4 linked regions of the Drosophila melanogaster genome follow. Changing the gene in region 3 together with the main gene of any one other region gives a genetic interaction. Each region holds a gene or a part of one and is shown on either strand. Other genes may lie near its edges.

What was found.
Region 1: of sev (region 3) and Src42A, changing one suppresses a phenotype caused by changing the other (phenotypic suppression), as found in Drosophila melanogaster (one study listed by BioGRID).
Region 2: of sev (region 3) and Cdc37, changing one enhances a phenotype caused by changing the other (phenotypic enhancement), as found in Drosophila melanogaster (one study listed by BioGRID).
Region 4: of sev (region 3) and ssh, changing one suppresses a phenotype caused by changing the other (phenotypic suppression), as found in Drosophila melanogaster (one study listed by BioGRID).

What each region holds. Positions count from the first base shown.
Region 1 is NT_033778.4:5,991,125-5,996,039, forward strand, and holds the start of Src42A (Src oncogene at 42A), read left to right. Parts: upstream 1-1,867; 5' UTR 1,868-2,253; intron 2,254-4,915. UniProt on the Drosophila melanogaster protein: Required directly or indirectly for the phosphorylation of drpr which is necessary for the interaction of drpr with shark and subsequent glial phagocytic activity.
Region 2 is NT_037436.4:1,793,456-1,797,844, reverse strand, and holds Cdc37 (cell division cycle 37), read right to left. Parts: upstream 2,454-4,389; 5' UTR 2,146-2,453; coding exon 2,113-2,145; intron 2,053-2,112; coding exon 1,849-2,052; intron 1,668-1,848; coding exon 1,008-1,667; intron 992-1,007; exon of another isoform or gene 944-991; coding exon 671-943; 3' UTR 538-670; downstream 1-537. Other genes in the region: CG12020 (uncharacterized protein), read right to left, coding at 1-480. UniProt on the Drosophila melanogaster protein: Co-chaperone that binds to numerous kinases and promotes their interaction with the Hsp90 complex, resulting in stabilization and promotion of their activity. Required for cytokinesis and chromosome segregation in mitosis and male meiosis.
Region 3 is NC_004354.4:11,083,269-11,088,251, reverse strand, and holds the start of sev (sevenless), read left to right. Parts: upstream 1-1,952; 5' UTR 1,953-2,056; intron 2,057-4,004; 5' UTR 4,005-4,126; coding exon 4,127-4,807; intron 4,808-4,983. UniProt on the Drosophila melanogaster protein: Receptor for an extracellular signal required to instruct a cell to differentiate into an R7 photoreceptor. The ligand for sev is the boss (bride of sevenless) protein on the surface of the neighboring R8 cell.
Region 4 is NT_033777.3:24,938,455-24,945,713, reverse strand, and holds ssh (slingshot), read left to right. Parts: upstream 1-1,818; 5' UTR 1,819-2,064; coding exon 2,065-2,124; intron 2,125-2,192; coding exon 2,193-2,438; intron 2,439-2,503; coding exon 2,504-2,895; intron 2,896-3,187; coding exon 3,188-3,253; intron 3,254-3,316; coding exon 3,317-3,511; intron 3,512-3,577; coding exon 3,578-3,847; intron 3,848-3,932; coding exon 3,933-6,285; 3' UTR 6,286-6,711; downstream 6,712-7,259. Other genes in the region: Nmnat (nicotinamide mononucleotide adenylyltransferase), read right to left, coding at 1-188, 261-456. UniProt on the Drosophila melanogaster protein: Protein phosphatase which regulates actin filament dynamics. Dephosphorylates and activates the actin binding/depolymerizing factor tsr/cofilin, which subsequently binds to actin filaments and stimulates their disassembly. Required for axon growth.

The sequences.
Region 1 (4,915 bases), on a different chromosome or scaffold from region 3:
GACTCAAATAAATATTTTAACAATTAAAGAAAAGTTATGATACCACAGTTTGCAAATAAATGGGTCCGATTTTCCAAATAATTATAATTTCAGCTCATATGCAGCGAATTTAGTATTTTTTGAACCTCCGTATTCATTATTCATTAATAATTCAAGCCATCCTTTATTTTACTCCCGTTGCCACTATAGGCTGCAATTGTTATTGAACATGACATCAGAAAATGTCGTTGAACCCACGAAGAGAAGGCAATTGTTTTAGAGAGCCACATGCAAGAGCCGTGTCGGCATTTATTCATATTTCCCTGTGTTCATGCGTGGTGAAGTTCCGATTTAGTTGAGCGTTCTTCTTTCGGCTCAGGTGAAGTGTGTGTGTGTGTAGACAAATCATTCGAGTTTGTGGCAAGTCAATAATACTCAATAGAAGGCAATTGTTTTAATAATTTGTCAGTAGCTAAAAAAAAACATAAGTGACAACAGACTCGGTCGTCGCTCTCCAGGAAGGTCGAACGACTACATTTTAATTGACTCAGTGATATAGTGTTAATTTTTAGCTGATACGTCCGATAAAGACTACATATACTAACGGTGAACGTGTTGATGTTATAGGAATTTGAATTAGCGTAAAATTGCACAGGAAGCAAATATTCACCTAGTCTGGCTGGGCATTAATTGACTCGTAATTTACGTAGAGGTAAATACACACATTTCAATCAGATTAGGACAGTAGAAGGAGACGAAATCGCATTTTGTCGATACAGTTTGGTGTGTGGCTAGATTTGATTTCAGTTATACGACCTGTAAGCTGTGACTTTGTGCTGTAATATTGTAAAAGTTAATTTAAAATGAAAAAAGAATATACTGCTAAGTTAGATAACCGTATACTTCAGTGATATTGGCCATACTGCCTAACGTTTTTATAAAAGTGTCCTTTTATTTATTTATTTTGCATTACACAACCCGTTAAAGTTAACATTTAACACTTTCTGTTTACTTTTTATTTCCAGGTAAGTCCCAATATTTCAGTATTTAAGGGTTTTGTGGTCAGGGAAACGGAGAATCTGAGCCATCGACGTAAACACATGTGTTTATATGTGCACATGAATTTCTATTTACATAAGGGAGCTCAGGAACACTCATATTTGGTCAAGTGTTAAATCAAAGTGACTAACGACTATGTTTATAGATTTTGCCCTCCGACTTTTCGCAAAATATCCCCAGGTATTCGTTAATATATTCTTAATATTAAATGGTATGTCCAGGCGCGAGTCCCCACTGCGAGTCCCTTCTGGATTGGATACTAGCCATTAGTATTCCCACGATGTAGACTCTAATATTTTCTATTTCAGCAATGTTCCATAGCATACCTTATCAATGACGAGTTCAATGGCGTTCACAAGAACCCAAGCGGAGACATTTAGAAACAAATAATTTGATTTCCAGTGACGCGACAGTGCTGAGTTATTTTGGTTACGTGAACAAATTAATACAACCTGACATTTTGTCAGTAACAGCGACGAGTTAATTGTTTTCAACTCGATTTGATCTTTGCAATCAACGCACTTTGTGACTAATTGTTGTCGTAATTACAAAACTGTGCAGTTTATCTCGGAGCATCTTAAGAGAGAGGCACTTGGAGACGAAGAGCGAGACCACTCTTCGACGAGCCATTGGACTTCTGGGCCAAGATAAAAGAGACTAAGCACACAAAGATGGATCGAAGAGCGAGAGAGCGGGAACGGTTGGCCAACACGCGGGCAGCGAGCTTGGCTCAAATGGCACACACATAGATGCCAAGGCGGCGGGTGCGAGTGTGTCGGTGCGGTGGCAAGCGGTTAAAACCTTTCTATAAAAATTTCATAAACGTATCAGTTGTCTGCGAAGCGGTGCACAAAACGGACGTGTAAACGGAAGCCGCACGAAAACGGCTCGGAAATCGGAATAGCGCCCGTACACGCAGCACATAGGAAATCGAATCCGAATCTGAGTTAAATGCCTTAATCGAATTTGGCCAAAGCTCGCCTACCGCGCTTACAAGTTTTTTCGTTCACGGGCCGATGAAATCTATATAATCTATTATCCACAAGCCACCACAGAGCCACTAGATGCACTGTGCGGCGCATGCGCGACCTGTTTGTGTTGTTGGCATACTTCTAACAGTCAGTGTTTTCTTTGTTCAAAAGTGCCTCAAGTAAAACCCCACTTTGATATGGATAAGTGGTAACAAGAGCAGCAGTAGCAGCAAAACTGGAAAAGGTACAAGCCCAGGGAAGCTGCAGTGTGCGGAACATTCCTCTGGTGGATCCGAACTCAGAAAAAGATGGGAACAGAACTTTCTATTTTCTTTACTGTTTCGCGTGTGTTTCGCTGGTCATGCAAACATATTTTCTTTGCCTCGGCGCATGCCGCTGGAATTAGAACGGTGTATTCCGTGCGGAATACAAAGTCGAGCTTATTTCGTAAGAGAATTCCTGCGAATCTGGTTATGCAATGCCTGACAGCCCACAAAGTCGTCCTCAAGTTGTTGCGAACTTTATCGTTTACTATGTGCTAAAATGCACAACTGGCTTGCCAAACGGGTGATACATTTTTGTAAGTGCTAAAGCGCTCAGTTCCGTGCACATGAACTTTCTTATACACTGCTGTGCACTTCCACGGCGTTTTTTTTTTTCAGACACCATACCAGGCCTCAGAAATCATATCAATTTCGACTTACGTGACTTGGGCAAACTGCGCCATTTCGCACATATTCTTTGCGTTTAGGCTAAGATTTAAGTTGGCTCTCAGGCTTGGAATTAGCGGAGTTTAGGGCCTTCTTTTATATCGCTTTTCAGCCTTCTCTTGCTGCACTGTGCCGTGGTCGTAAATTTCCTGCGTCATGAGTCATGCCTGTCAGTCGGAGTCGCTTAACAACAGCAGTGGTAGCAGAAAAAAGATAAAGATACAGATACAAAATATTCAGTTGAAAAACACATGAAAATTGCTTTCATGGTATTGAGTGTGGAGCTCCAGATGAGCTAAAGAGAGGCAAAAAAGCTCATTGTTTATGGTAGCTGGCTTCGTGGTCCGCTCTTTGTTGTTGGCATTCCGAGCTGTAACCTCTGATTGTGATCCCTTCGAATTACTCCTTTCAGTTCATTGGTTCTCTCTTCAGCTCCTGCCACTTAAGCTATTAACTGTGGACCGTGCACTTTCCCAAAAACCTCTTATACATACGCTGACGATACTTTGTTTTCAGTTAGAATAAATAAATACAGTAAGGGAATAAAATAAATGTGGTTTTTAAAGCATATATGTGCAATCTCGGAGTCACGTTCCTACTGGAATATTTGCGTCGTCCTTGCACTTCTCTTTTTTGAGTAACGGGTATTTGTTAGTCAAAGAACTCGCTTTGGTGTTTTCTCTTGTTTTTTTAAGAGTGTTGGCGCCACAAAATATTTGATGAATGTGAAGGACGTTCAATTTCTTTTAGTTTCTCTCTTAAAAAAACAATTTTTTTATTAAATTAAGTACACGAATGTCGCGGATATTAATATATATGAAAAGTTCGACATATCGAATAAATTCGAATTCCATGAGTGGAAGGGAACTAAGTCTCGTCACCATTGTGCAATGACCTAAATCACGGTCATAAAATCAAAGCCAAACTTTTTTTTACCATAAGTTTTGTTGTGTTGGTTGAGGTTGTCGGTCAATGGCTATGTTTTTGCTGGCCAAATAGCTTACTTTTGATTTCCACATTAATGGAGCGCAGCAAGCGAATCACAATGTTATTTGCATTAAATTTTTTTGGAGTCACGGAGAAAGTACGCACAAAAGCTATAAATTAGACGGCATCACACAGCTTCTTAATTCCTATCGCTCTCTTGCAATGATTCACTTTTTTTTGGCTACGCAACGTAGACTCGCTCACAGATTTGGCTGAAAACCATCATGTCGAATGGCAACAGAAAGAGTTAGTGTTTGATTTTCGAGGTTTACTAGTTGTGGATTGGCGCACTAGAAGGAAATAACAAAAAAGCAGACAAACATAAAAAACGTTAAACCGGTTCAATTTGGGTCGTAGTACCTTTGAGTGCAATTGTTACCTTTCAGAAACAACGACAACAAAGACTTCGCCAATCGCACTCCATTCCACTCGCTCTGCAGCTCATTATACCCGTTATTATGTTCGTCTTGTTCAGTTTTCTTGGCACGCGTTACCGTAAAAAAAAAAAACTCCCACACAAGCAACCGAAAACACATCGAGCGATATTTTGTAATGACCATGCTTCGAATCGGTTACCATAGGTCAGTCAACAAGTTCGGTGTGAGTTGAGCTTTTATTCAGGGATAAACGCACCGTAGTCTTTTTGTTCATACTCGGTTAGTAACAAAAACTATACAAATCTTTAAAACACTCGAACAATTTTGGTCTTTTTGTACAACTTAACGTATGTAAGAATGTGTAAAATATTGTAAAACACAACGATTTTCTACTAATGTTTTTAAAACATTTTAAAGATATTTTTAAAATATCATATACCGATTCCTCTGAAGTCCACCTACGGCTGTCTAATTCGCTAGATGTTGACTGTAAAAGGTACAGGGTTTTAAAATTGTTTCAATAAAGCAAAATGTTCCCGGATATGTTTCGATCAAGAATATATATATATATATACATTTTATATATACTTTTCAACGAATCTAATTTCCGCTTTTTATCTTCAACTACAGGAATAAAAATATAATTTCTTGGTACACGACAGTATTAGTCCTTGACGTCCGACTCGTGACAAAAACTGCTAAAAGATATAGATTACTATATGCATCAGAGCTTTCAATAGCCTTTCGAAAACAAGACGGGTTCAACTGGTTTTATACAACGTCGTTGCTGTTATGGTTATTGTTGGTGTTTATCGTTAAATCAGCTGTTTTA
Region 2 (4,389 bases), on a different chromosome or scaffold from region 3:
CCTCTCCGTACTGGCGTCCTTGGAACGCACGCCAATGCCATGCTGGCGCGTAGCGTACAAGCTCGGTGGATTGGAGATCGCATCGATCACGTTGGCATACGGCGAGTAGCTACCGAAGACCCGCTCGTAGACCTTCATGTGGTCGCCGTCGTACTGATAGGGCGGAAAGTATCCGTTCGGCAGCATGACGCCCTCGAACAAACCCGCCTCGCCAAAGCGATCGTATATGGCCCGGTACAGATCGTTGCCCAGCACATCGAAGGCCATGTTGACGTAGGCCCACTGCCTGGGCTCGCCCATGGGTGAGAGGTGCGTGAGACGACCCTCCTGGGCCAGCGGCACAAAGTCCTGCTCGTCCTTCTTGTCGCGATGTGGGCAAAGCCGAATGGCCAGGCGGCGGTAGGCCAGAGTAATCTGCTCCTTGGTGGCGCCTCTGGGCTGATCCAGCACCGCGTAGTAGTCCAGCTCCGGCCGGTTCATTGTTTCTATTCGGAGTCGAAGCGTATAACAACTGGCAGAAGTGTTCACAGAATGTTTGACGTGTGACTGAGAATTTATTCAAATTATATACAATAACTCAACTGACGCAGGATCTGGCTATGGATGAAATATGCTTGTGGACAAATACATTAAGATTAGAGCTATGGTGTAGATGGAAACGTGGCGGCGATCAGTCAACGTCCTCGGTGCTGACGCCAGTGTAGATGGGCTCCTCCTTGGCTGCACTCTCTGATTTGGCATCGTCGGTCTTCTCCTCGCCACCGGCGACGTCATCCGAGTCATCTTCCTCCTTCTTGTCACCCTCCAAGTCAGCGGCATTGGGCACCCAGAGACCAGAGTCCACACAACGCTTCATGTGCAGCTTGGCGACGTCCACGGGCATGGCCGCAATGGTCTTCTGCAGCAGCTCTACGTCGCGGGACTCGAAACAGGCCTTTAGTTCCTGCGGAGCAAATACATGAAAAGTTAGTCAAGTAATTCCCATACAGTGAATCACTAGAACGTACATCGGGCAGGGATTCAAAGACATCGGCTGGGTCCAGACCACCAGGTCCGAGGCGCTCCTTGCGCTCCTCCTCTTCGGCCTGGGCTATCGCCTCCTGGATCTTCTCCTGCGCACGCTTCTGGATACGTCCTTTGAAACCTTCGATCTCGCTGTCGAACTGCGCGCGGTACTCGGGATGACAGTGCTGGATCTTTGAGAAGAAGGAGCTGACACAGGCGCGAGGATCCACGTCCAGCTGTTTGGCCAACTCTAGAATGTACTGCATGCAAATGCACTGATGCGCCACGTGGGCCATCAGCTCGTGCTTCTCCTCCATTTCCAGGTTGATGGACCAAATGACTAGGTAGTTGGCCGTCTCCTCGCCCACCAAGTGAAGATGCTCCTGCAGAAACCGCTTCGAATCGTCGTACTTGCGCAGCATGCCATACTGCTGGCAGAGCTTCTCGTTCTCCTTGACGAATTGCTTCATGCGCTGCTCTCGCTCTTCCTCGGACAGATTCTCATCCGGCTTGCGGCCGGCCTTCTTGTTGATTACGGTCTTCTCAAAGCCGGGCTTGCTGATGGTGTCCACGTTCCAGGGTGTTTTCTTTTCCTTCTTAATCATCTCGCTCTCGATGCGGTCCAGCTCTTTGCCCTCGGCCTCGATCTTTTCGAGCTCTTTCTGTAGGCGATACAAATTAGGGATTAAGCATTGCGATGAAAGATGGATGGCCACTTAGGATGATAGTCAATCATAAGCTTGACAATAAGAATAAATTAGATGGATTGAGAACATAGGGAACTCCCAGACCAGGCATTAGCCTAAGCAACAAGTGCGCAGTGCATTCGGTGCAATGACCCACCTTCAGGGCCTCCTCGTCGCCATCCTTCTTTGAGATCCGCTCCTTGACGTCCATGAGGCGCGCCTGGTAGCTCTGGCGCTTTTTCTTAAGCTCGTCCTTCTCGTGGTCCATCTCCGCCATGCGCTCCACGCGCGCCTGGTGCCGCCAGCGGAACAGAGAAGGCGTGTCTATGTTTGGGTGAGTGTCGTCCTCATCATCCGAAATCTAAAAGGTAGTGTGCCGATTAGGAGGACTTTTTGGGTTGGCACCCAGCAGTGGGCTCACCTCGATGTTCTTCCACTTGCTGTAGTCCACCATTTTGCTGTTTCTTTGCTTCGGATTTATATTTGAATGTAAATGCTGCAGGTTTTTGTTCTTTTTCGGCTGCTTCCTTTTTTTGGATTGCTCTGGAAATTAGTGTGACCGCAGGGCTATTGCGGAATAATACCATAATAAGCCCCGCTTACTCTGGGGCCGCGCTAGGAAATAGTAGTCATGCATGAGTGCACCAGATTGAATTGAAATACCCTGTCGTTTTTAATTTATTTACATCATCTACTACTACTCATCTACATCTACTAGAAAAATAATGAGATGACTAAGGCGCCAAAGCGACCAGAAAGAGAACTATGTTTATAATCGATTGACATCGATAGAAATCGCGATATTGATGTCAATGTTCTGCGCCAATCGGCCGACATATTGAAAAAAACTGCGGTCCCGTGAAATAGAGGCGCTCCGTGAAAATTACGAATAACTACTGCAAATCAATAGTTAAATTAACAAAGTAACTGTGAACAAATAGATTGCCATCAAAGTGTAAGTTTCTACATAGTTTTCGTCCGTAGCTCACTGTTAGTTGGGTTCAAAATGCAATTGAAATTCGGTGTGCGTGCAAAGTGAAAATTTTTCGGGTCAACGCCACACCCTCGAAGGCAACACAAAAATCCAATTAACGGGGCTAAAGTGAGAGAAAAGTCTTGGCCATAACTGAAAAGCTATGCTGTGCAATGTCACTGCTTGATTAGTAATAGAAATTTTGAATTTCTTTCAAAATTCTTGACTCCAATTGCAACTTAAGAAAAAGTATCTGGTGCTCCTGTTGTGCATGTGTGTGTGCGGTTACGCAGGAGTAGAGAACGCTGTGTGTGTGTACGTCATCGGGTGGTGGTGGTGGTGCGGCAACTTCAGATGAGAGAAAGCGGGAGAGCACACTCTCCCTCTCTTTGCTTGTTTGTGTTTCCAAGATATTTAAGTACGAATAAAAAAAAAGCAAAGTGCTTGCCTTACATATGCCAAAGTTTTGGGTGGGCAAGTGTCCTTGACTTTCTTGAAGGCCTGTGTTTGCATAGGATATTTTTGTTTGCTTGCCAGGCGATTCCGTGTTCGTAGTAGTCTTGCGTACCAGTTGATTTTTTGTGCCTCTTCATTGATTGCTCATAATTCCAAAGCGTACGCATTACGTCATCCTCTGCTATTTTCTGATAGACACTTCAATTAATGTTTCGCTCTCTCCGTCTCTTTCTATTCGCTCTCTTTTTGAGGTGCGATCTCTCGCAATTGCCGTTTCTGATGTTGTTTTTGTTTGCCACCGCGATAAACAGTTAAATTGGCCTGCCTGTGTGTTTGTATGTGAGCTCCAACATTGTATGGCTGCCAAGCCCTGGGCTGTTGCCATCTCCCTCTGATTTATTTCAATTTCCTGTGGCAAAGAGTGTTGTTTGTTTGTTTCTCTGCATGCTGACCCACCCTCTCCCCTAAATGATGTCATTGCTTGCTCTGCTGACCCCTTCTAAAGGGGCGATTTTGAAGTATTAAGTATTAAAATCCGGACATTCCACGGATTTCCTTATCGTTAGTGCTAATTGTATTTCATGTTACTCTATTGACAAAAATTCACTCCTTGGCTTTTCTCTATTAATCATTCTTGGCCAATCTTAACTATTTTACCTTCTGTGTAGTGTAGCTGAGAATTTCAGATATTTCTCTGCTTTTCTTATCTGAGTTGTTTTTTTTTTTTTTTTAGCACTAAAAATTGGAAACTATTAGAAATGTGATTTTATGGGCTATCAACTAAGTTTGGAAATTAAAATAAATGATATCTTATAAGAATTCATAGAAAATATTTATACTTTAACAACAAAAAATTGTTGATGCAATATTTAGATACTTTTAGAAACCTACTATTCTTTTATTGTTAAGGTTAATACCTTTACAAATTTGTTTAGCATACATGTGCGTTTTTCCAAACCTGACCTACAAATATATTCCTCATAATTTCCCGCCTAACTATAACCTTATTACAACTTTTAGTACAGGTGATGAAGTCATCACAACTCGTAGCATTTTACGTGTCGTTTACGTTGATTTAGTTTATTGTGTGAAAACATATTGTTTATACAGAAAAAAAAGAAAATCCTGCAACTTCAACCCATCCAAACAACTCTAAAAATAACTTAGAAAACGAAACCCACAAAAGCCGAGCCAACATTTCCCTTCTCTCCTCTTCCGTTGCAGGGAAACAAAAGGGAGAGAGGGATTGGAGGAGGGCCAAAGGTTGAA
Region 3 (4,983 bases):
AACTCTAGTTTCTCTTCAATTGTCGATATAAATAAAACCTTTTACTCAATAAACTGAAAAAGACTAAAACATCAATGACTAAACTGAGAGAAAGAAATAAATATTTTTATGCAAGACCAATTTGTAGTGCTACAAAATTGCAAATTTCACTACAGTTCAAGATTGAAAAGAGTTTGCATGCAAAATGTGCACAATACGTCAATCAGAAGGTGAATTTCCGGGGTTGTCCCTTTTTTTTTCGAAAAAAATGCGAAAATCTGATTTTCACGTGACAGTCTGTGAAATAGGTATGTAGCACCTAGTCCGCCGGCGAATCCATTGAGAATCGCTCGGGTTGATAAGCCGCATCTTCCGTCAAGTGTGTGTAATAAGTTTGCCGTCTAATCAATTCCAGAATATTTCAAACGATTAGTACGAATTCGATGATCCCAGGCGGGAGATTGGATTTCCACAGATTATTCGGGCCAAGAAATTGTGCGCACGAGTGCAGTTTGGATGTCTGCGGCACATCCTTTCCGTTGGCCAAAAAATCCATAAGCGAAAGGGATACTTGGACTTGATGGCGGAACCGGAAACGGAAGCTGTCACGCAAGCCTTTCACTCGCCGCTCAATTTTTCATCCCGCAGTGTCAGTTGTATGAGTCACGAGTCATGTGTAACCGGAAAATTGCCTACTCTTGTGTGCTTCAAATGCTCGGAAAATGCTTTAAAATATTGCATATTTCTTAGCTTGCGAGTTTTTGATTCTACAGAGTAAAAAAAAAATACCTAAATGTTTGTGTAAATCAATGAAATTAATAGCTTAACTTGTTTTCTTCATATTTCTCGGTTAAAAAGTTATGGAAATATGATATTTTGTAGTTTGATAGAAAATTTTTAATGAAATTTCTATGACTTTCCACATCTCGTTTACTTTTCATGGAAATACACTTCTATTCACCCCAATTGATGACTTTATTTTCTGATTGTGTGGGCTAGTTCCCTATTGAATTCAATTATTTTCAAGCGTTTACTGCTGCTTGCGATCAATTAGTTTAATAATCAATTTAGGTGTGCTGTTAATGCTTAGCTAAATGTAAAGAGTGAGTCAGCTAAACGATTTAAACAAATTTTCTGCCACGTTTATTTGTTGGCGAAAAAGCGCGTTGATTTGCGCTATTCATGTGACGATGTTTAGAGTAAATTGAGTTGTATTTTAAATTATTTCTGTTAACATTTGTAAACGAATAAAGTTTTTTTCCATTGCAAGAAGTTGAAATTTAACCCTCTTTGGATGTAAGCTTTTCAATATATTTAGTCTTAATAAGTCTAGCTCAAAAATAAGTACTATAATTTAATAATTATATACATTTTACATAGCCTCGGCCCATTACCTTAATTTTAATGATACAAAGATGTTACTATGTAAGTCGGAAGCTTATTAAAAACCGAAAATCATCAAATCAACTAGATGCACAATGTTAAGATCATGTTTTTATTAAGATTATATTTTAGATAGATACTCTTGAGGTGGCATTGGTTTCTTGAGATGGAAAATACATCTATCTATCTATGTATCTATAAGAACTTAAATATCTGGCGGCCTGCTTGCGATCTGCGATCAACCGATTGAGTTGAGCTTTGACCCATGGAAAGAGGAGCGCGGTGGGCTATCTACCCATGATATCCAGTTTAGGGGTTGCCCTGCCAATGACGTCATAGTTGCTGCGTCAACGAAAAAGAAGATCAATGGTCATTTAAGATCGGTTCGGTTCAGTTCGGTTCGGTTGCGGTGCGCTTCGTCACTCATCGTTCATCGCATCGTATGGTATCGTATGGTATCGTATGGTATCGTATCGCATCGCATCGCTTCGGTTCGGTTTCAGTTCCGTGCTCAAGTTCTCCAGCTGGGGGGTTGGACTTGGACTTGGAGCTTGGGGCTTGGTTAAAAAGCCGCCGCTCGCCGGCAAATCAGTTCTGCTGCGATCGCGCCACTGCGCACTACGTAACGCTTCGGGAATCGCACATCCAGATCCAGATTCAGATCCACATCCAGATATCTGTGACATTTTGTCGAGTGAGTTGCGTTCTCAAAGATACAAGATACATCCGTGCGCGTATGTGTGTGTTTGCATGAATTTCGGCTCTTTTAATACCCTTTTTTTTTCGCGTGCACTAAGTGTTCCTATGTGTGTGTGTGTGGAGTTGCTTTTCAGTTGGGGCCGCAACTGCAACAATAAAATGCAATTAAGCCGCTCAAATCAACAATAAATTGAATTAAAGCGCGTGAACAGCGCTTAACAACTTCAACAGCGGCGATTCGAGCGAAATGTGGGTGAGAGTTTAAGGCTCCATCGGTTTTGACTTTCTGATTGTACAAATATGTATATATATATACTATAGCATACATACCTTCGACTAATTAATGCAAAACGCTGGCCGGCAGCTTTTGCATAATATTCTCTGAATAACTTTAATGCAATTAATCCCGCTGTGATCTTTCGTGTTTTCACTATTTCGCGCGGTTTATTCAATTTGAATTTCAATTTATTTTCGGTTTTTCTGTTTCATTTTGTTTATACATATATATATTTGTTCGGTCTAGTCTGCTCATCGGGCGATTTAATTAACATTTTCCGTGCTGCTGTGCTGTTGTTGTTGCTGGTAAATATGAAATTAAAGTGCAATTAACTATTATATATACATATATATATATATACATATATATATGTATATCTATGGTTTTGCTGAACTTGCGGACAAAAGGGATTTCCGTTTTTGAAAGTGCGACTCCGCTCGATTATTCTCCGTCCGTCGAATGTGTTTGCATCTTAATGAGGATAAATTTGTTATGGCCACTTCCCGTTCGCTATTGTTGTTGTTGTTGTTGTTGTTGTTGTTGTTTTTGCTGTGGTCGGTCGAAGGGGGCGTGACTTATTGGCCATGCATTACGCCATGTTAATTGAAACTTGTCGCTTGGCTAGCTGATTATGCAGACGCCATATTAATTGGACCATGGACCATGAGAGCATGGACCATCCATGTCCTCTAATCGAAATCCCGGCGACATTTGGATGAGTTGGGCGGTGGAAGCTGGCCAAACCAGTTACGGAGATCATTGGGATTTTGGCTTATCGATCCGGACTTAGATTGTGTGTGTGTGTGTTTGTGTTTACCCTGTTTATCTCGCCGGCAATGTGCGTTGAACCTTTGAGCTGCATCTGAAATAAGTAGAATGCAATGTAGTTAAGCTTTTTCTTGGGGTATATTCACTTGCCTACTTATTTTTATTAATTATTTTCCAAATATATCAAATATATATCAAATATATCAAATATATTATATACATCAAATTTTCAAATATGCAAATATCATTTAATGCTATTGGTACAGCTATTAATCAACTATACATGTAAATTGTTTATGCTTGTTACACTAAATTGAGTAATAATCCGGAAAACTCATGATAATTGACGGTTTGACAAAAATGATAGTAATATAGCATTTTGCAAGGGCAGAACTGCCACTTTGTAAATACAGTGATTGGAGTATCTATTAATTAGACAAAACTTGGCTTGCTGATATACTGCAAATATTTGTAAATTACTAGGTTCGGGCCTTTTAGCAGCTTTTTTTATGCCTTTAAATTGCAACTGCAATGAATTGAAGTACAAGAAATAAGTCATTCTGTTTAATGGAAAGTTAACGAGACTCATTTCTCAAATTCGCTAAATAAATTATATAAAAATGTATTCATATATTTTAACATTATATGACATAATGTTGAGTAAAGGGTATCCGTAAAATATCACTTGCATTTAATTTTTTGTAACTGCCTCGTTTGCTGCTTCTCGAATTTGCATAAAATGGAAATTAGTTTGTGTACTTAAAATTTCCAATTGAATTGGTTTTTTGACTCTGCTATTTGAAATCTGATTTTTATTTGTGCGTTGTTCAAATTCACCCCTCTCTTTCTATTTCTCTTTTGATTTACACTGCGGTGGTCACTGTGTTGTGTGTTTCAGTTTCGTTTTCAGTCAAATGCGGCACTAAAATGTTAATTCAGCCAAAGCAAACAACGATTATCGAGTGAAATAGGAATCGAACGCCACAAATCGCGAACTCGGGGTGAAGATCGAGTGCCTCGATGACTATGTTTTGGCAACAAAATGTAGACCACCAGTCGGATGAGCAGGACAAACAGGCGAAGGGTGCGGCGCCCACAAAGAGATTGAACATCAGCTTCAATGTGAAGATCGCGGTGAATGTGAATACCAAGATGACCACCACCCACATCAATCAGCAGGCACCTGGCACCTCCTCCTCCTCGTCGAACTCCCAGAATGCCTCACCCAGCAAGATTGTGGTCCGCCAGCAGAGCAGCTCCTTCGATCTACGTCAGCAATTGGCTCGCTTAGGCCGCCAATTGGCCAGTGGCCAGGATGGCCATGGCGGCATATCCACCATACTGATCATCAATCTTCTCCTGCTCATTCTACTCTCGATCTGCTGCGATGTCTGCCGATCGCACAACTATACGGTGCACCAGAGTCCCGAACCCGTCTCCAAAGACCAAATGCGCCTGCTGCGTCCCAAGCTGGACAGCGATGTGGTCGAGAAGGTGGCCATCTGGCACAAGCACGCCGCCGCAGCTCCGCCAAGCATTGTCGAGGGCATCGCCATCAGCAGCAGGCCACAGTCAACGATGGCCCATCATCCAGATGATCGAGATCGGGATCGTGATCCTTCGGAGGAACAGCATGGCGTCGACGAGCGAATGGTCCTGGAACGCGTGACCAGGGATTGTGTGCAGCGCTGCATTGTTGAGGTGAGTTCTAGATTTCTAACATTACCTAAGTTTTATATTGTATTTACATACATTGTGATAATGCACATTTCGTGATGGTGTCAAAAGAGCATAAAACATGCATAAAACATGCATAAAACATGACTTTCCCCAGGGCAAAGCAAAGAAAAAAAAGGGTAAAGCGACATTCGGGTGCG
Region 4 (7,259 bases), on a different chromosome or scaffold from region 3:
CTGATTCTGGTGCACCTCCCAATCGGACAACCGAATCCAATTGGAGCTCTGGGTGGCCAGCTTGACCATGGCACATCTGTCCAAGGCGGAGGCCAGACCCTTTTTGCCATATGAGTCGTGCGTGGGCGAGATGATGCCACCTACCACTCTGTGGGTTCCCTGCATTTCGAAGTGGTCCTTGGCTATCTCTGTTGACAAAAACATGCCGCGTAATTTTATCGATTATGTACCGCAGAATTTCACAATCTAGTTTAACTCACCGAACATCCGAAGGTGCATGGGTGTGGGTGGACTGAAGCATCCGCAGGCTATGAAGGCGATCCGCGGCAGCAGGCTTTTTGTTTCCTCGATGAATGCTGACATTTTCTTCGATTTTGAGCGTCTTTTAAAAGATCCAAACCGCCGGAAGCATTCGCTTGTTATGTTGTTCTTGGGCCAGCTGATTTTCACAATCATCTGTTCGGCTTGTTGTTATTTTCCAACACTAAACAGCTGTGCAGTGGCTACCACCTCTGACTACCTTTGACTTGTTATTCGATAAATGATAACTTAATGTAACTTAATTTTTTGATTTTTAATCATCAAAAAGGCAAGAGTACATAAAAATGTATTAAAGCCTGTTTTACTGATATATCAAGAAGTATACAAACATCACTGCGTTTCTCATTAATAAGTACTTTTTTCGGTGTACCACACGAACATTGCTTTCGCTTGCGATAGTTAGCCAGCCCTGCCAGAACGATTGCCTGACGATACTAGTGTTATCGATTAGAAATGGCGTCCTCACTGTCTTTCTTTTAAGAAAAATTCGTGTAGTCTATTTACCATTTAGCAGCGTTGTGTGTGTCCGTTAATTGTAAGGACACGCTGTTTCTTAGAGAGAACCGCCTGGCTAGAGTGTCCGGAAAGCGGAAACCAAGACGATCGCAGGACGAGGTCGCGGAGCCGACTGCAAAAACAACGGCCAGCAGGCAGCGATATGAAAATGCATTTGTAGCCTTAGCCCACAACACTTGCACACACACCACACACTCTCGCGCACACTCACACACAGGGAAAAGGAGGTGGAGCAGAAGGAGCCGAAGCAGGAGAGGATTGCAAGGGACACCGCTGCAGCATCGCCATCATCTGCGCCAGGTGGAACACGAGGGTCAAGAGGCGTCGGCGGGGGAGGAGGAGCAGGAGGTGGAGGAGCGGCTGCGGCGACGACGACGACGTCCACGACCACGGCAACAACAAATGGCGCTGGTGACGGTGCAGCGCTCTCCCAGTGTGGCGGGCTCCTGCTCGAATTCGGTGAGAGGAGACTTGATGGTTTTCGCGTGTGCGTATGCGTGTGTGCTTTGTTTTGGTCACCCCCACTCTGCCAGGAGAGCCAATTACGGGCAGGCTCTTTAGTGCGTGTTCCGCTTTTGGCCATGATCCTTTGTGTGCTCGGATGTGCTTTTCATGCCCAATGTTTATCATCCGCCAGCTTGTTGCTTACGCTTTTTGGATTTCGACGTTCAACGTTCGCGTGTGGGCGGTATGAGGCAGCGTCATCATCGTCATCGGCTGTGCTGCGCTGCGCTGCTTTTGGTGTAACCCAAGCAAATCCGCAGACGTCGCGACGTCTATATTTTTCAACAGACTTTTGCATTGCCTTATTTGTCGTTTTTGTCGCTTTCCGCTTACCGCTTGTTTTTGTTTTCTTCGCCGCCCCACCGCCCAAAAATAGTTCGCGAGACCTTGACGTCCGCCTGCACAGAGGGAAAAATTAATATCGGGGGTTGATCAATTTAATTTTACAAAACGTTTTAATTCAGATATGCTCAATATGTCAAATCGGTATTTTTGAACACATAAATTAACATTTTATTATTTCTAAGAAATCAGAAAATATAAAAAAAAAAAAAATACTTCACTAAACCGGAATCTTTTTCGAACTTGTGACCCTTTTCTCAAAATCAGACGGTATTCAGTTGAACAATCAGATTTCTTGGAACTGCAGATACAGCTTTGCTTCTTTTCCGCCCTTGAAGTGTAGACTATAATCAGGAGTTTATCTTACCCCTTTGCAAAATAATGAGCATGCAAGTTTGTTCTTTGCCAGACGACATCCTTATATTTAGCCTAACCCCACGGGTGAGGTGCAGCAGGATAAGGTATTCTTAAACACCGAGTAAACAACTTTCCTTTCTCTATAACATCAGGATGGCGAGTCCGAGGACGACGAGGGCAATAGCAAAGGAAACGATCGCAGCGAGTGCTTCTTTGCCGGCAAGGGAACCGCCCTGGTACTGGCTCTTAAGGATATCCCGCCCCTGACGCAAAGCGAGCGTCGCCTGAGCACCGACTCCACCCGCTCCAGTAACAGTACGCAAAGCAACAACTCGGACATCCAGCTCCACCTGCAATCAATGTTTTACCTGTTGCAGCGCGAGGACACGCTAAAGATGGTGCGTATCCAATGTAAAATTACTTTGTCTATCTTTTAAACATATCTTTCTATTCCTATCAAAAGGCTGTCAAGTTGGAGTCACAGCGGTCCAACCGCACGCGCTATCTGGTGATTGCATCGCGTAGTTGTTGTCGGAGCGGCACCAGCGACCGTCGGCGCCACCGGATCATGCGTCACCACTCGGTAAAAGTTGGTGGATCCGCGGGAACAAAGTCGTCCACCTCCCCGGCGGTCCCCACGCAGCGTCAGCTGTCCGTTGAGCAGACCGCCACAGAGGCCAGCAGCAAATGTGATAAAACAGCAGACAAGGAAAACGCAACGGCGGCCGGCGACAACAAGAATACCTCGGGCATGGAGGAGTCCTGCCTGCTGGGCATAGACTGCAACGAGCGGACCACCATTGGCCTGGTGGTGCCCATCCTGGCGGACACCACAATTCACCTGGATGGCGATGGGTAAGACTGGGCATTCATCTCGTAAGAGTCATGCACTCATAACTGCCTAATTGTCGCTATTAACCTTGGGAATTATTTATAGAATTAATTTAAAAATTAGCCGCCCCTAATCTATACACAAATCGGTGTCGCCTTGACCAATTTCCTAGTTGAGCGGTGGCATTTATGTCGCACATTTGTTTCCAATTTATCTTAAGCTATTTTAATAATAGCATGGCAGAGTGTATTTGTTCTGATAAACGTGTGATGTGCATTTCCTTAATTTCAATGGTTTATCTTATCTTGCTTTCAGCGGATTCAGCGTCAAAGTGTACGAAAAAACGCATATATTTAAGCCGGTCTCAGTGCAGGCCATGTGGTAGGTGCCTCCTTTGGAGTCAGATCCCCTTCAGTCACAAATTAAACCCTTGTTTCTTTCCAGGTCCGCGCTGCAGACGCTGCACAAAGTGTCGAAAAAGGCTCGTGAGAACAACTTCTATGCCAGTGGACCCTCCCACGACTGGCTATCCAGCTACGAGAGGCGCATCGAGTCGGACCAGTCTTGTCTGAACGAGTGGAATGCCATGGACGCGCTCGAGAGCCGCCGACCACCTTCGCCTGATGCCATACGAAACAAGTAAGGGTTCGGTACAACTAATTATTTACGGTTTTAATTCCTCTTTCCCTTGAATGCCATAAACAGACCCCCCGAAAAGGAGGAAACCGAAAGTGTCATTAAGATGAAGCTGAAGGCCATCATGATGTCAGTGGACCTGGACGAGGTCACCTCCAAGTATATACGCGGACGCCTCGAGGAGATCCTGGACATGGATTTGGGCGAGTACAAGTCGTTTATCGACGCCGAAATGCTCGTTATTCTAGGCCAAATGGATGCCCCCACCAAGATTTTCGAGCACGTCTATCTGGGATCAGAGTGGAATGCCAGCAACTTGGAGGAGCTGCAGAAAAACGGGTATGTTTAAGAGAAAAAAAAGGCCACACTATTGATATCCTGGGAAAATTGGCTAAAATCAGCGACAACTTATTTTCATTTTCAGCGTTCGCCACATCCTGAACGTGACGCGGGAGATCGATAACTTCTTTCCGGGCACCTTCGAGTATTTCAACGTTCGCGTGTACGACGATGAGAAGACGAACCTGCTCAAGTACTGGGACGATACGTTCCGCTACATCACGCGGGCGAAAGCCGAGGGATCCAAGGTGCTGGTGCACTGCAAGATGGGCGTCAGCCGATCCGCCTCGGTTGTCATCGCATATGCCATGAAGGCTTACCAGTGGGAGTTCCAGCAGGCGCTAGAGCACGTGAAGAAGAGGCGCAGCTGTATAAAGCCCAACAAGAACTTCCTCAATCAGCTGGAGACGTATAGTGGGATGTTGGACGCCATGAAGAACAAGGAGAAGCTGCAGCGCAGCAAGAGCGAGACGAACTTGAAGAGCACAAAGGACGCGCGACTGTTGCCTGGTAGCGAACCAACGCCCCTCATTCAGGCTCTAAACCAGGCCAAGTCGAAGTCGACTGGTGAAGCGGGCGTAACACCCGATGGCGAAGAGGAGGATGGTTCACGCATGCACCGGCGATCCATCGCCCAGAAGTCACAGCGTCGCATGGTTAGGCGCTCGAGCAGCACATCACCCAAAACCCAGACGGCTGTGGTTACCAAGCAGCAAAGCCAGTCTATGGAGAACCTTACGCCGGAACGTAGCGTGGCCGAGGAGCCAAAAAATATGCGCTTCCCAGGCAGCAACGGCGAGAACTACAGCGTCACCCAGAACCAGGTGCTGCACATCCAGAAACACACGCCTCTGTCAGTGCGCACACGAATTCACGATCTCGAGGCGCACCGGGCGGACCAGCTGCCACAGCAACCTGTCTGGACCTCGCTGACAAAACTGATTACACAGACCTCTCACTTGGGAAAAAGTGTCAGTGGCAGCAGTAGTGGAAATATTGACTCGCGGCGGGATTCTAGCTGTTCGGATGTATTCTCCTCGCAGGTGGACAGTGTTTTTGCCAAGGATGAAGGGGAGAAGCGCCAGCGTCGAAAGACGCACTCCTGGACAGAGTCCTTGGGTCCAAGTGGCGGCATCGTCCTGGACCCCACGCCACAGCAACAGAAGCAGCAGTCAAACGCCATTCTGCGTCCCCGAGGCACACGTCAGCGGGAGCTGCCTTCGCGGCACGCAAGTTGGGGATCAGGAGACAACCGATGCTGTCTGCCGCAGAGGACCAGTTCCGGCTCCTACTATGACTCCAATCGCAACACTACGGCCATCTTCGAGGGCGTTATCCAAGACCTCAAGCGCAGTTCCAATTGCAATGTAATCGAAGGAGTCGCCGTTGCTGTGGAACCGATAGTTGGAGTTGGCGAGGGCACCGTAAAGCGCACCAAGCAGAAGCTGGAAGAGAGCACCTCGCTGAAAAAGCGCTGCCAGGAAGAAAGCCAGGAGCTGCTACTCGAGGCTGTGGATGCTGGGCAGAGGCGGTGCCCAAGCCTCTATAGGAGCGCCTCCTCGGCGCACAGTCCGCGGCAGCGTCAGCCACTACGCTGTAATAGTGAGGAGCTGATGCACACCAGCGACATCGAGAACAAGAACACCACGCCAGGCGACCATGAGGCGACGGTAGTGCTGCGCGTCCAGGGACAAACGCTGGCCGACGATCAGCGCATCTCGGGCAATGTGCAAATACTCAAGCAAAATTTCGAAGCCAAAGCGGGAGTGGTGGGCACAGGAGGAGGAGGAGGCGGTGGCACTGCAGCGGGATCGGGCAGTAGTTCAACAATCGCAACGTCGGTATCGGCGGTGGCCGGAGCCTGCTCAGCGAATCCCGGCAAGAAGACGACTAGCCACCAATCACTGCCATCGTCGCCGGTGGCGCAGCATGCCAACCACGTGTCCGCCGCCTCCAACTCCAACTCCTCCGCCTCCAACTCGTCCGATTCCAGCGTAAGCGAAAATTGTGATCGTAATGTAAAAGGTCTAGTGCATAAATATCAAACCACTACTTCCTGCAGTAGCCAGGCGGCCGCCACCCCCACAGTCGCCTGTGCCCCACTGCCACCCGCCGGAACCGCCAGCAACATCAGCCACTCCTGCAGCACCACTACCACTACTAGCTTCAAGCAACGCCCGCTCTCCTACTACGACCGCTCGCTGTCCAACAGATCCACGCATGACTATAGCGACAGTCGACCGCCACCCGCGCCCGTCCGCGTCAGTCACAGCAGCAACGTTCAGCACCAGCAACAGCAGCAGCAACAACTGCAACCGGAGCAGCATCAGCAGCAGGTGCAGATCCGGCGGTTGGCGCAGCACGGGAAGACGCATCCGCTGAGCAGGCTAAGTGCTCCGAAAACAGGCTTTAACACCGCCGCCTACAACACCATGTAAAGGCCATGCTCTGCTTAACAACATGCTAACTGCAAACTGCAACATTCACATACCACTTGCAACTTGCAATCCATACCCTGTAGCCACTAAGGATCGTCCTCATCCTATCGCCTGCTTTACTTATTTATATACTCGCCCGCTTTCGACCATTTTGTGTTTTTTGTCCAACAATCGAACACCACCACCCCATCCATCCCCTCCATCATGCCTCGTGTTTGTTGTCTTGTTGTGTAAGGCGTCCATGAAAGCTTCTAAAGATCTTGTGTCTGCAATGTGTGAATGGAACTATTAAGATGACAAGAGAGGGCAAACAAAACAACCTATGGAAATGAAACTGTATTTGTACTTTTAAATTACTTGTAACTGTATACATATTTATTTTATATTATGCAAGAACTGCCTACGAATAAACGATTTATTGTATATACGTCATCGTCTTGTCTTGTGAGTGTCCCTGTGCCGTCCATGTGCCATTCACACCACAACTCCCATGTGTTGCCCAACAAACACTGCCCTCCGTTTTTACCAGATTTGTATTTGCAGCCTTATCCACATGATCCGCTCCTTCCGCTACTCTTGGGCGGAGTACAAGAAGTGATCCGGCACATGGAGCACCGACTGCCGAGGCCGCGGCCCAAAAGTTCCCACCTTGAACACTTGTATTTTTTGCCATTTATCAGACCACATATTTATAAATAAAAATGTGTAATCCAATTTCGAGCGCAATCTGTTTTACTGTTGGCCATGAGTCACCTTTGGGTACACACATAATTTAATAGTGACCGGAGATATGAATTATTTTCACATATTGTATAATTACAAAGAAATTAACAATTACTATTTAATATAAATGTAATTTGATGTAGTTTGGGGATTTTAAAGTTAAATGTAGATATAGCAAGGTGTGTATGGAAGGAAAAAATATATGGGTTCTAAAAAGTTTTTTTTTTAACAAAATCCTTATCGATTTGAAA